Linked DNA regions of Tribolium castaneum. Each later gene encodes a partner of the first gene's protein in a complex. Links are inferred from orthologs where the notes say so. Each region holds a gene or a part of one and is shown on either strand. Other genes may lie near its edges.

The links. Proteins that work in one complex are often made in the same cells at the same time.
Region 2: the proteins of fu (region 1) and Su(fu) are in contact, whole or in part, in a crystal structure (PDB 6LPH), measured with the Drosophila melanogaster proteins. The link is inferred for Tribolium castaneum from reciprocal best matches to the Drosophila melanogaster genes fu and Su(fu). Residues at the interface, in NP_477499.1 of Drosophila melanogaster: Phe371, Val372, Ser373, Asn375, Ser376, Asn377, Met378, Ile379, Leu380, Asn381, His382, Met383, Asn384, Asn386, Phe387; in NP_536750.2 of Drosophila melanogaster: Leu18, Ile22, Pro33, Asn34, Pro35, Leu36, Gln37, Val38, Thr39, Thr40, Leu41, Leu42, Asp50, Tyr54, Met57, Arg127, Thr130, Trp131, Ala133, Asn134, Gln137.

The regions. Positions count from the first base shown.
Region 1 is NC_087395.1:1,160,404-1,166,302, forward strand, and holds the start of fu (serine/threonine-protein kinase fused), read right to left. Parts: upstream 3,287-5,899; coding exon 3,119-3,286; intron 3,071-3,118; coding exon 2,957-3,070; intron 1-2,956. Other genes in the region: centriolar and ciliogenesis-associated protein HYLS1, read left to right, coding at 3,517-3,670, 3,722-4,063, 4,112-4,284. UniProt on the Drosophila melanogaster protein: Probable serine/threonine-protein kinase; maternally required for correct patterning in the posterior part of each embryonic metamere. May be involved in control of cell division during metamorphosis and ovarian development. May interact with costal-2.
Region 2 is NC_087397.1:4,507,848-4,513,595, forward strand, and holds Su(fu) (suppressor of fused homolog), read left to right. Parts: upstream 1-1,958; 5' UTR 1,959-2,204; coding exon 2,205-2,353; intron 2,354-2,575; coding exon 2,576-2,668; intron 2,669-2,712; coding exon 2,713-3,120; intron 3,121-3,171; coding exon 3,172-3,573; intron 3,574-3,624; coding exon 3,625-3,904; 3' UTR 3,905-4,181; downstream 4,182-5,748. Other genes in the region: Lrrk (leucine-rich repeat serine/threonine-protein kinase 1), read right to left, coding at 1,223-1,388, 1,443-1,640, 1,690-1,743; uncharacterized protein LOC107399185, read left to right, coding at 4,520-4,520, 4,573-4,766, 4,817-5,526, 5,591-5,748.

The sequences.
Region 1 (5,899 bases):
TGAATTTACTGTAGTGGAGACCCCAGGCGCGGACCTTTTCGGCCGTGGCTCATCGTCACTTGAGTCCGAGTCGTCCGAGTCCACATTTCCTCGGTACCTGTGACGCCCCATTGCGAAAATCTCATCAGAAAACTTTTCGCGCCTTTTGAGCCACACCCAAATGAAAATTGACAGCGTGTGGTTGCGTAACTCCTAGAACTCGTCAGAAATCAGAAAAATCAGATAAATTCGGCTAGCACCCGATTGATTTGTTCGATTTCAAGTAGTAAAACACAATTTTGTTACGAATGAAACGGTACAGATTCCCAAAACTTCAATTTTTGGCCCTTGCCTTGGCGACCCACAAATTCCTCACAAAATCACCACAATTCACCACTCTCTATCGGAAACGATTATTTGAGCAATATCCTACCGCTGCTCTGTAAATGAAACTCGGAATTCACCCAAAAACTAATTTATTAGCAAATTAGATTCAACAACGACATTGACACTTCCACAGTGTCCTTCCAACTAACTAGGCGTTGCCCGTACGCGCCTCACGCGTCATCATTTCCCGCCAATTTCAACAGCAGCGCCCCCTTCACTTAACAGACAGAAGGAAAAAAATGGTGAGACAAGCAGTCAAACGATACGAAAATAGAAGAAAACTGAAAAAATAATAACTTCATTGCGAACAAAAATTCTACAAATAATTAAACATAAAAATAATTTTAAATATGTTGGGGGAATACTCAGATTGTAACTGGTTTCCTGATTTCAAATTGTGTTAGATTTCTGGTGTCACCACAACTCAGTCCTGCGTAATTCACAAACATTATTTTTCAATTTTTGTAAATTTAAGGATAATTTGATTCACTACTAGAATAGCCGACAAGGAGCAATTTACTTTGATTTTTTATTTATATAAAAAAATTAACTGCATCTTGTCTCTGCTATCCCATTTAATTTATTAAATCATACTTAAATAAAAATAACAACAGACGTTGAACAGTGAATACAATTTTTTGTAAATGTGATTGTTGGTATAAAAAGCATTTTTCTAAAATCACCAAACAAAATTTTTGCACAGTTTTCATCAAATTAACACGAAAATCACAAGATTTGGTGTTGGTTGCCTAACATTTATACACTATATTGAAAATCTTTGTTTAAAAAACGAAAAGAACTTAGTAAAATATAAGGAAAAATTGTCTCTCTTTATTTGGTGTTTCAAACAAAAATTTTTAGATCGTCTGATCAACTGATTACAACAATTTAATTTAGCAACAAGATCATTAATAGATAATAGGCAAAAATAATAAGGAAAAAACAGTACAAGGAAATAAAAATTGTTTTACGAAATTACTTGAAAGAGAAAATAAGAAAATAAAGAATAACCAATAAAGACAAAAAATCTAAATTTTAAATAAAAAAATAAAAAATTGGAAAAGATGGCCTCAAAAAACATTATTGAAAATGTAAAAAAAGGATGATTAAGAAAAAACTATATAGAATAGAATAAAACTGTATAGAACTATACAGGATGCTCAAAAACTGGCGCACCAACTCAGTGGTACGCTGTTGAGAAGCATGTGTAGATCACGGAAAAAATCTTGAAAAAATTCCTAATGTCATATTTTAAAAAATATGGAGCTACAAACTTATTTTGTAAACTTCTTCAGTTTTCATTATTTTTTAATAGTTTTATGTTTCACACTAAGTAATCGTTCCCTAACACAACAATGAATAATTATTTTTAAATTTCCTATCAGACTTTAGCAGATTTTTTAATTAAAAAAAATAAAATTCGTCAAAAAAATCACAATTTGTAGATGTGTCAACATTGGGAATTATTACTTAGGAAACCGTTTCAAAAATAATTTATTTTTATTGTTGATTAAGTTCTATTGCGATCATCACTGTTAGACAACGTTGCCACATATCATCTAATTAAATATAATTAATATTTATAATTATATATATTTTTTATAATATATATATATATTTATAATATATATATATATATATATTATATATAATATAATTAATATAATTATTTATCAATAATTTTAATACAAAGAATTTTTTTACTAATTTTACCGTTATATGTAAGCAATTCTCTACCATATTCCAATAAGTTGGTGCGTCGGTTTTTGAGCACTCGGTAGAATAGAAAAAAAAGAACAGAATAAACCACAAACGACAAACTACAAAAGACGAAGCCATAAACTGAAGACAATATAATATGAAAGAAATATAGCAAAAGGTAAAAAAAAACAAAAAGTAAAGCAATGGTAATATGAAAAAGAAATGCTAAAGCAACGAATAGAATAATGTCGCAGGAGAAATAAACCCACAAAATTAAAAAAAAACAAAATAAAAAAATGCAAAAAAGGCATAAAAGAAAACACACAAAATTAAACGAAGATAGAAAGAAAAAATTATGAGACAAGCAGTTAAACGATACGAAAATAAAAGAAAACTGAAAAAATAATAAAAAATAACATGAAAAAATGTAATTTCATTGCGAACACAAATTCTACAAATAATTAAACATAAAAATAATTTAACATATGTTGGAGGAATACTGTTAGATTTCTGGTGTCACCACAACTTTTTACAATTTTTGTAAATTTAAGTATGATTTAAATCATTACTGGGATAGCAGACTAATTTACATTGGTTTTTTATTTATTAAAAAAAAAATAAACTCCATCTTGTCTCTACTATCCCATTTAATTTGTTAAATCATACTTAAATAAAAATAACAACAGACGTTGAACAGTGAATCAAAATTTTTGTAAATGTGATTGTTTGTATAAAAAGCATTTTTCTAAAATCACTAAACAAAATGTTTATACAGTTTTCACCAAATTAACACGAAAATCACCAGATTTGGTGTTGGTTGCCTAACATTTGTACGGTACATTGAAAATCTGTTTAAAAAACGAAAAGAACTTGGGAAAAATTGTCTCACCTCATTTGGAGTTTCAAACGAATCAAGCATTTGTATAATATTGGGATGATGCAAATGTCTTTGAATTTCACATTCCCTTCGTAGACCAATTATTTCCTTGTTCGATCTTCGACCCTAAATGAAATAAATTTGAACGAGTTCGAGCCTCAGTTTTTAACTCACTTTACAGATAACTTTTAAGGCAACAAAAGATGAATCTGCGATTACTTTCGCTTTGTAAACTCGTCCAAACGATCCTTCGCCCAATAATTTAATAACTTCATACTTGTCCATATCATTTTTTACACTTGGAGAGGATTGTTTTTGTTTACTTACACTTCCGCGTGACATTTTTTTGACAATCAGATGTTTGTCACGCTGACAGGCAGGGACACCAACCCTCGTGAAAGTAACTGACTGGGTGGAAAGCAATTTTTTGCAAAGAAATACCAATTTTGTTGATAAAAATGATTTTGTGATTAGCAGTGTTTAATAAAATCAACGTTATTGTGAAATTAACCAACTGCGAGGTTTTGTAACACTTATTTTATGTCCCCACTTTTAGGGAATTTGATTTTCGTATGTTGCCTAGAAATTTAAGGTTTTGTTTCAACGTTTTCTTATTTTTTTTCTTAAAAATGACCACAAAAATAAGCCCTAGGGAAGTATTAGCGTATTTAAATGACTTGGGTTATCACAACATTAACCCACAACAATTGAAAGAATTTGTTTACGGTTGGTGAGTCATTTTTTGTTACTTTAATTGAACAAAAGTTTGGTTTTCAGACTTGAAAAAATTGATAAAGTATGAAGAACGCAAGAGAAGCAAACAAAGCCTTGGAAATGAAACAGATGTGCCGAACGAAAACGAAAAAAATAAAGATGATGTGTTTCTAGTTTTACATTCACAAGGGACTCACTCTTCAAGAGCCAAAACAGTTTCAAAGAAAGAAAGTGTAATTTCGTTAAAAATCAAGACAAGTAAAGGACCACAACACCATTGTCACGAAAACACGTTGGAGGCACAAACAGCCCCTGAAAAGGGTCAAGAAGACACGCTTGACTTTGTGCCCGTTAAAGATGTGCCTTGGAAAAAAATGATTAATTCTAGCAAACCTAAAAGTTCCTGTAAGTATTTTAAAGTGTTTGTAAGTTTTTTTACGTTTAAGCTTGTAGTCATAAGACCGGGAATTCAAACAAATATTAATAAGAGTGACCCTGTCGCACTCTACCACCAATATCAAAAGTGTTGGAAGCGACAAAAAATTCCAGGTGAAGACAACAGAACCGACTTGAGGTGGGCTATTAGAGAAAAAATGATGAGTGGACCTAGAGTGACAAGAGCTTGATTTTTATGTGTATTTTTACGTTAAAACGACCAGTTTTATAATAAATTGTTACAATCATGTCGTGTTAAATGAAAATGACTTCGTGCAGAAAATCTAACCTCTAAATAAATGTAAACAAAACGATGGCGGTAATATTACAAAAAAAACTTTCAAGATTTATAAAATCGACTTTGACGACATTTGCTTCTCCTGTTTATCTAGAAATTGTCCCGCAACTGTTTTTATGATAAATTTCGAGGGGGCTGCCTTGTCTTCCATACTCAAGGATATAATCAAGTGAGTCAAAAGTTGTGTAACTACTGAGGTCATTACGATACGCGATTTGCGTATCGTAATATCTAATGGAGTATAATATTTTTCTATTTTTTAATAGTTTTTTATCTTCCTTTCTTTCTATTTTCAATACTGTCTTCTGCGGCCACATTTTTTTCAATTTTTTATTCTTTCATTATTCTTTATTGGTCTTTATTAGTTATTTATTATTTTCTTATTTTCTCTATCAATTTTTCTTTCCTATCTCTTACTGTTTTTGAACAAAATCACAAAAAAGAGATTTTACTTCATAATTTTGATAGTTAATCAAGTAGACCTTGCAAAATGGTCAACAATAATGTTAAACTTCAATATTTTTTTTAGTTTTTTGCTGGTTTATTATCGAACAAGCAGTAAAACTATTAACATTTAATTATGGTTTATTATAACTTAGTGAATTATGTAAGGTAACTCAATCAGTCTGGCATGGCATTTTGAACTTCCTGAATGAAAATGGTAAACAAATCGAACATTTTTTTTAATTAATAGCACAATTTTTTCATATCGAAAGTTTACTTGATTAAAAATGAAAATAATGAGCTAAAATTCAGTTTTTAACTGTAAGAGATAGATATAGAAGATGTTAATAAAAGTCTGCATAAAAATTGATGTTCTTTTGACTACCATTGAAAAAACATGGTCATTCCATTTGAAGAAAACCGTTTTCTAATCTTTTTTTAATTCCCTAAATTTCGAAATTAATTTTTTTGGTACAAAAAGTGCGCAGTAGAAAAAATACTGTATGATATCTCGTTTATAAGGAATTTTGTCGCACTTACTCTATTATGGCACTCCTCGCTGCGCTCGTCGTGCGCTAAATTTGTGCGTGCGACAAAATGCGTCTTATAAAACTCGTATCCTAATATACTATTAATTTTACTTTTTTTGTATGATATAAATGGAGTGACAGTTATATATAAACTTACAGTACATAATGCAAAATGTGAATTTGTAAGAGGATATATAATTATTAATAATTAAGCAATTCTTATTTTTGGCATATTATTATTATTATTGCCCAAAAACTTATTATTATACGAAATTCGGGGCATTCGTAACATAATCAAACAAACATAAAACAATTAATTCATAGTTACAAACTCTCAAGATTCGAAAAACTGACTTTGCCCCAAATCCCGCTCCACATTTTTATTACTCTATGGTTTAGAGGCACTCTAACCTCACTTATTTCTCCAATAAACCTCAAAAAAAACGTAAAACTATTAATTCAAAGTTGCACTCTCAAGATTCGAAAAACTGACATTGTCTACTTTTACTTCTCCAATTTATATAGCTAGAGATT
Region 2 (5,748 bases), on another chromosome or scaffold:
GGCGTCGTATTTTTATATATGATTTACATAATGCGTTTTACGTATAAGCGTCGCGACGTCGATAACATTTTATAGCACTTTACTTGCATGTTGTGTGAATTGAAGTTAAGTGCATTAATAATGCACAACTAAAACAACATTATTCAATACTTTATCGTCAATAGCGAGTCCGTTAACTAAATTAAAATTAGATAACTGCAGCCACGAGAGCCAAAATGACACCTGCTTAGATTAATTTACAAAGTTCATGGAGCAATGAGCCTCTTTTTTAAATATACAGTTATACATACAAATTAAGTACGGCTTAATTTTAAAAATGGAAAAAATATAAAAACTAGCCTTGTAATTACCAGTTAGTAATTACTGTACTCTGAGCAACAATATTATGACAAAAATCTCGAAATAAAAATAATAATTAAACGTAGTTAAATAGATAAAATTTTGCAGTGTTCATATGACTGGATTATGTAATCAAGAATAACCCGAAAAAATTCTCATTTAGTGCCGTACCTTCCTAGGTACTCATCTTAATTAATCCGTTTAAAAAAAGCATAATTAGTAAAATACTTTTACTAATGAATTAATTACATCAATTTAAAAAAAATGTTTTAAAAAATGGCTTAGTTGATCACACAAACAAAATTGGTAGCAAAATTATTATGTAGAACGAAGTCTTAAAAATTGTATTAAGATTTAATCTTAAGTACAAATAGACACTGTTTTATAAAAAGAATTGGCTTATCTAATAATTTAAGGTATTTCCGTTAATTTAATTGATAGAGATTTAATGCAAACACAAATACAGCATGTAATTCGTGACTTAGGCAAATTTTATTAATATGTCTCAAAGTTTACACTTTTGAGTAACATTTTTTTATTGCGTCTTCACTTTTATTTTGGCCAATTTTATTTGTTGTGTTAATCAGTCACAGTATGTTTAAAATTCCAAAGTAGAGAGTTTGTATAAAAAAATGTTATACACTAATAAAAACAAAAGTTGGAAAGTATTCTTCCGGCTTTTAAATTAATCTAAATAATAACTACAAAGTGTTCCAAGACATACAAATACTTTTAAATTAAGTCACTCAGAAAATGTACATTTTTTATGTACATTATATTACATAATGTCCTGTTGTACAAGAGTTTATAATCACTGACAATAAGTATTCGTTGAGCAGTATATAACCCTGAGAAAAAAATTGAATAGGGATTATTTACTTACCCACAGCTTCTTTCAATAGTGTTACACACTTCACATGCCCCGCTTTTTCAGCCAGATCGAGAGCACTCATTCCATTCGCATCCAGAATTTGAATATCTGAATCATGCTGCAGTAAAATTGAGACATTACTGTTATGCCCATGTTCGGCACTTAAATGCAAAGGAATCTAAAACGAGAGCAATTATTTTCCTACAACTGCTAAAATTAATTAAAAACAAACCTTCTGGTCGCCTCTTGGGCCGCACCGAATGTTAGGATCGGCCCCTGCATTTAGTAAAATTGTCAAACACCCTGAATTATCATTAATAGCAGCTGCATGTAGGGGGGTTCTCCCCCAACTGTCCTGCGAGTTCAGGAAGGCCTGTTGGCCCCCTTCTAGCAAGTCCATGAGTAAATGTGTGTTGTCCCATAACGCGGCCTTAAAACAACAATCAAATTTTGCAAATTAACTAGTTAAAGGAACGAACCTGGTGTAGGAGCCGGCCTGGAAAATCTTCGTCTTCAGGCGAAGAATCCAACATTGTGGCGATCGATAACGCTCCCAACACCTACATTACACAAACGCGGAAACTAACACAATTTCGTGCAAAAACCGCGAAGCGTTTCAACGATAATAATTTCGCAACGATTGAGAAATACAAAAATGTCCTTATTTTGACTGCTGGATTAGAGGTTAGTTTAATTGTCGCAACGACAAGCAACCTAACAACGCCAAAAGCCACCCCTTGCACCCACTTTTCGAACGGGCTCTAGGGAAATTTCTGTTTGGTGAGTTACCGAGCCAGGTTACTCTTGTTTTGTTTGGCGGGTTGCCTAAAAGTTGTTCCTGCATTCTTGAAATATTTTCTTTTATTGGTCTGGACGGAAGTGTAAAATGTTCTAAAGTGGTAACAAACGGCTAAATATAATACTTTCTGCCGATTTCTAGTAAGTAGAGGTGTTGGTTTGTAAAGTTTTAAAGTTGGGGGGGCCCAATAGAACAATGAATGAAGCTGCTGCTCTGCCCCATGGACCCCCAATGAACATTCTGCCACCGACACCAGCAGGTTTGGAGTCTTTGTACACGCTATGTAGGAAAATTTACCCCGATCAAGCCAACCCCCTTCAAGTCACGGCCCTCATCAAGTACTGGCAAGTGATTTTTGCAATAAAATTACATAATTCGTTTAATTTAACGTACATGTAATTATTTTGGCAATTGCCGGGCTTATAATTGTGCGAAATTTCCATTAAATTAAAATTTGACTCAGGTTCTATTTATAGTCACTTCCTGTTTTTTCTGTCTGCTTCCCTTGTATGTAAACAGGGGAGCTGACCTATTTTATTTTTAAACGAGGGGATACTTTTTTATAGGCTGGGAGGGCCCGATCCTTTAGATTACATATCAATGTATGCAAATCCAGGCATTCCACAAGAAAACATTCCTCCACATTGGCACTACATAAGGTAGCAATCTTTTAAGTGAAATATTTAATAAACGAAAATTTTAGTTTTGGTCTCTCAGACCTTCACGGTGACGGGCGAGTGCACGACGTGTCAGGAGCTAATGGTGTTTCAGGTTTTGGTTTTGAGCTAACATTTAGGCTAAAACGGGAGCCTGAAGAGACGGCACCGCCCACCTGGCCCGCAACTTTAATGCAATCTTTAGCGAAATACGTTTTTCAGTCAGGCAACACTCTTTGTGCTGGTGACCACGTTTCCTGGCACTGCGCGTTAGATAGCAGCGAGTCACGAATACAGCACATGTTGATGACCACAGACGTGCATTTGAAGTCAATACAGACGCCTTTTGGTTCTGTCGATTTCGTCCAAATTGTTGGTATTTGCGCCGAGGAGCTGAAAGCAGCCCAGCAGTGGAACGGGGCCGGGGTGCTTGATATGATAACTAGAATACCGTCGTAAATCGCACCACCAATCACGTTTTCGTAAAACTTAAGTCTGGGTTTTAGTGCTGGGGGGCCTTGGTTTATCACGGATATGAGGCGAGGGGAGAGCATTTTTGAGCTTGATTTAAACGCGCACGAGGAAGTCGAGCGAGGGTTTGAGTTAGAGGGCTCCAATTTGAGCGGAGTCAGCGCTAGGTGTTCATGGGTTGAGCAAGACCCTGCTCGTATTGACATAATGCATTTGAAAGAAAAGTCCGATTGTGACAATTTCCAAGCTCAAGAGGACGTAACTCTGTTAAATTCACCTCAAAAACCGCTACAGAGTGGCAACTTTGAACAAAACCGCTCCAGTAGCACCAATTTCAAAATGGACGAGTCAACTGAGTTGTTGCACATAAAGAAATTAGAGGGCGTCCATTTGGTTTTTAATTTGGAGGCTGGGAGTTTACTCCCTTTGGCCATCAGGTGAGGGAATTTTACGTGTTGGTGTTGTTTCTATTTTTTATTTTTGAAAAGGGGGCGCGTACGACATGGTAGACATTTCACATTTAAGTCAGTTTTGGGTGAAACTGCCATAACACTAGTGGCAGGTACGGTTACAGGGACGTTGGTGAACTCAGAACACCCTTATGTAGCTCAGGGTTCATGGCTACAAATACTTATTACCGACGATTTAGCTCAGGATATGGCGGTTACTTTTCAAGTTCTGGCCACTCCAGAGGCGCTTTCTTTACCAAAAACATTCTCATGGCCCGACAAAAAGTTATCTGTGACTATTGTAGCGGACAAGTTATAGTATTTACAGTTATCTCATTAATCATAATAAGACTAAAATAGGTTTAATTTAGCCTTAGTCTCACGAAATAATCAAAAGCAATATGTAGGCATATTTCTTATCTTAGGTTTACTCAATTAATTTATTACATTATTTATTATTACCTAACTTAAATAGAACAACCCCCCATATGCTATACATATCGGATTTAAAGTACAAAAAGTAACCCATATTATGTACCATAGACCTGTAAACTGTCCCACTTGATTCTAAACGAATAAAGATGCTTTCTTTTGAATTAGGTTTTTTATTTTTATACCATGCTTTCTAATTTTTTTATCGAAATGGCCTGTGAAATTAAGTCGTTTGATTTACTTCATACGCGCTATCAGTCGTGACGTCACCTCCCCACTCTTATTACGGTAGGTCAGTTGCTCAAAGCTAAACAACCAGTCTTTTACATGTGGTGTAATACGTTTTTCGGTTTTTTGGTTGTGTTTGTGCGTTAATAACGTGTCAAATAGCTGCAGCGGGTGTAATTTGTGCCACTAGAGACTTTAATTTAATTTAGAAGTGACTTTTTGTGAAAATACGAACTTTATAAAAGAATACAGGGAACCACGTTGTCGGTGAGAAAGTGAGTAAGCTTTAATTATACTTTGAGAAACTATTATATTTATGCATTTTAGTGGCAGAAAAGCACATTGTTAAGTTTCACTTTATTGCGAAATTTTTTGGGGACGGTAATCGCTTTTTAGTTCGGGGAGAAAATGCTTTTACCAGCGGTCACGTCACCAAATTTAGGTTTGATGGCACAGTACAACCGATGAGAATTTCTGCAGAAGTTCTACCGAGCATGAAAAAGCTAAATTATACTGTGGAGGTTTGTATTTATTTAACTGTTAGACATTTCTTCTACAAAGTGTGTTTTAGATTTCATATGACCTAGAAGAAGGGGTTAAGACGGCACATTGTACCTGCCCAAGGGGCAACGTGGCTTGCCATCATATGGCTGCAGCATTATATTATGCTCATTATAATGTAAGTGCTACTGACATTGAGTGTCAGTGGAGTGCCCCATCAAAAACAACACCACAAACAGAAGTCATTAAGTTAGCTGATGTTTACAAGCCGAAATTATCAAACTATACGGCACTGTCTAGGTCCTCTACTGAGGACGAAATTATTCAGTTCCGTGCCGAAATAGGCGTCACGAATGTGGTGGGCTTCACTTGGCTCCTAAGACCAGAAGCAAGTGAAGAAGCCAGAAAAATTATTGCAGATATCGAAGAAATTCTACAAAGCTTAGAATACGTGCAGGCCATAGACAAACAAAAGTTTCTTTTGGAGAAGTGCAGAATAGATGAGGCACGCATTAAACTGGTTGAGGCGTGCACTCGGGGCCAACATGTTAACGAAAATTGGCATGTAGCAAGGAAACATCGTTTAACGGCCAGCAGGTTTGGCATGGTACTATCTGCTTGCAGTAGACGAAGATTCCCACCCTCTTTATTTAAAAATTTGGCGGAAGGCTATTCGCTTGACAGGGTTGCTGCTGTGCAGTGGGGTAAGACCCACGAGAAGACAGCGCTCAGAGAATTTGAAGAAGCGACGAATCTTAAAGTCCAAGAGACGGGATTTTGGTAGGTCGAAAATAATTAACACGTATAACTTAGATGAATAATGTAATATTACTTTTTTTTGTAGGTTGGAAGAATCAGGCTTTTTGGGAGCAAGTCCTGATGGATTAGTGGAAGAAGATGGGATTCTCGAAATTAAATGCCCATATAAATATAGGGACACTGACAGTTTGTCTGAAGCCCTGAAGGATAAAAAATATTTTTATTGGAGGGATGAAAATGAGG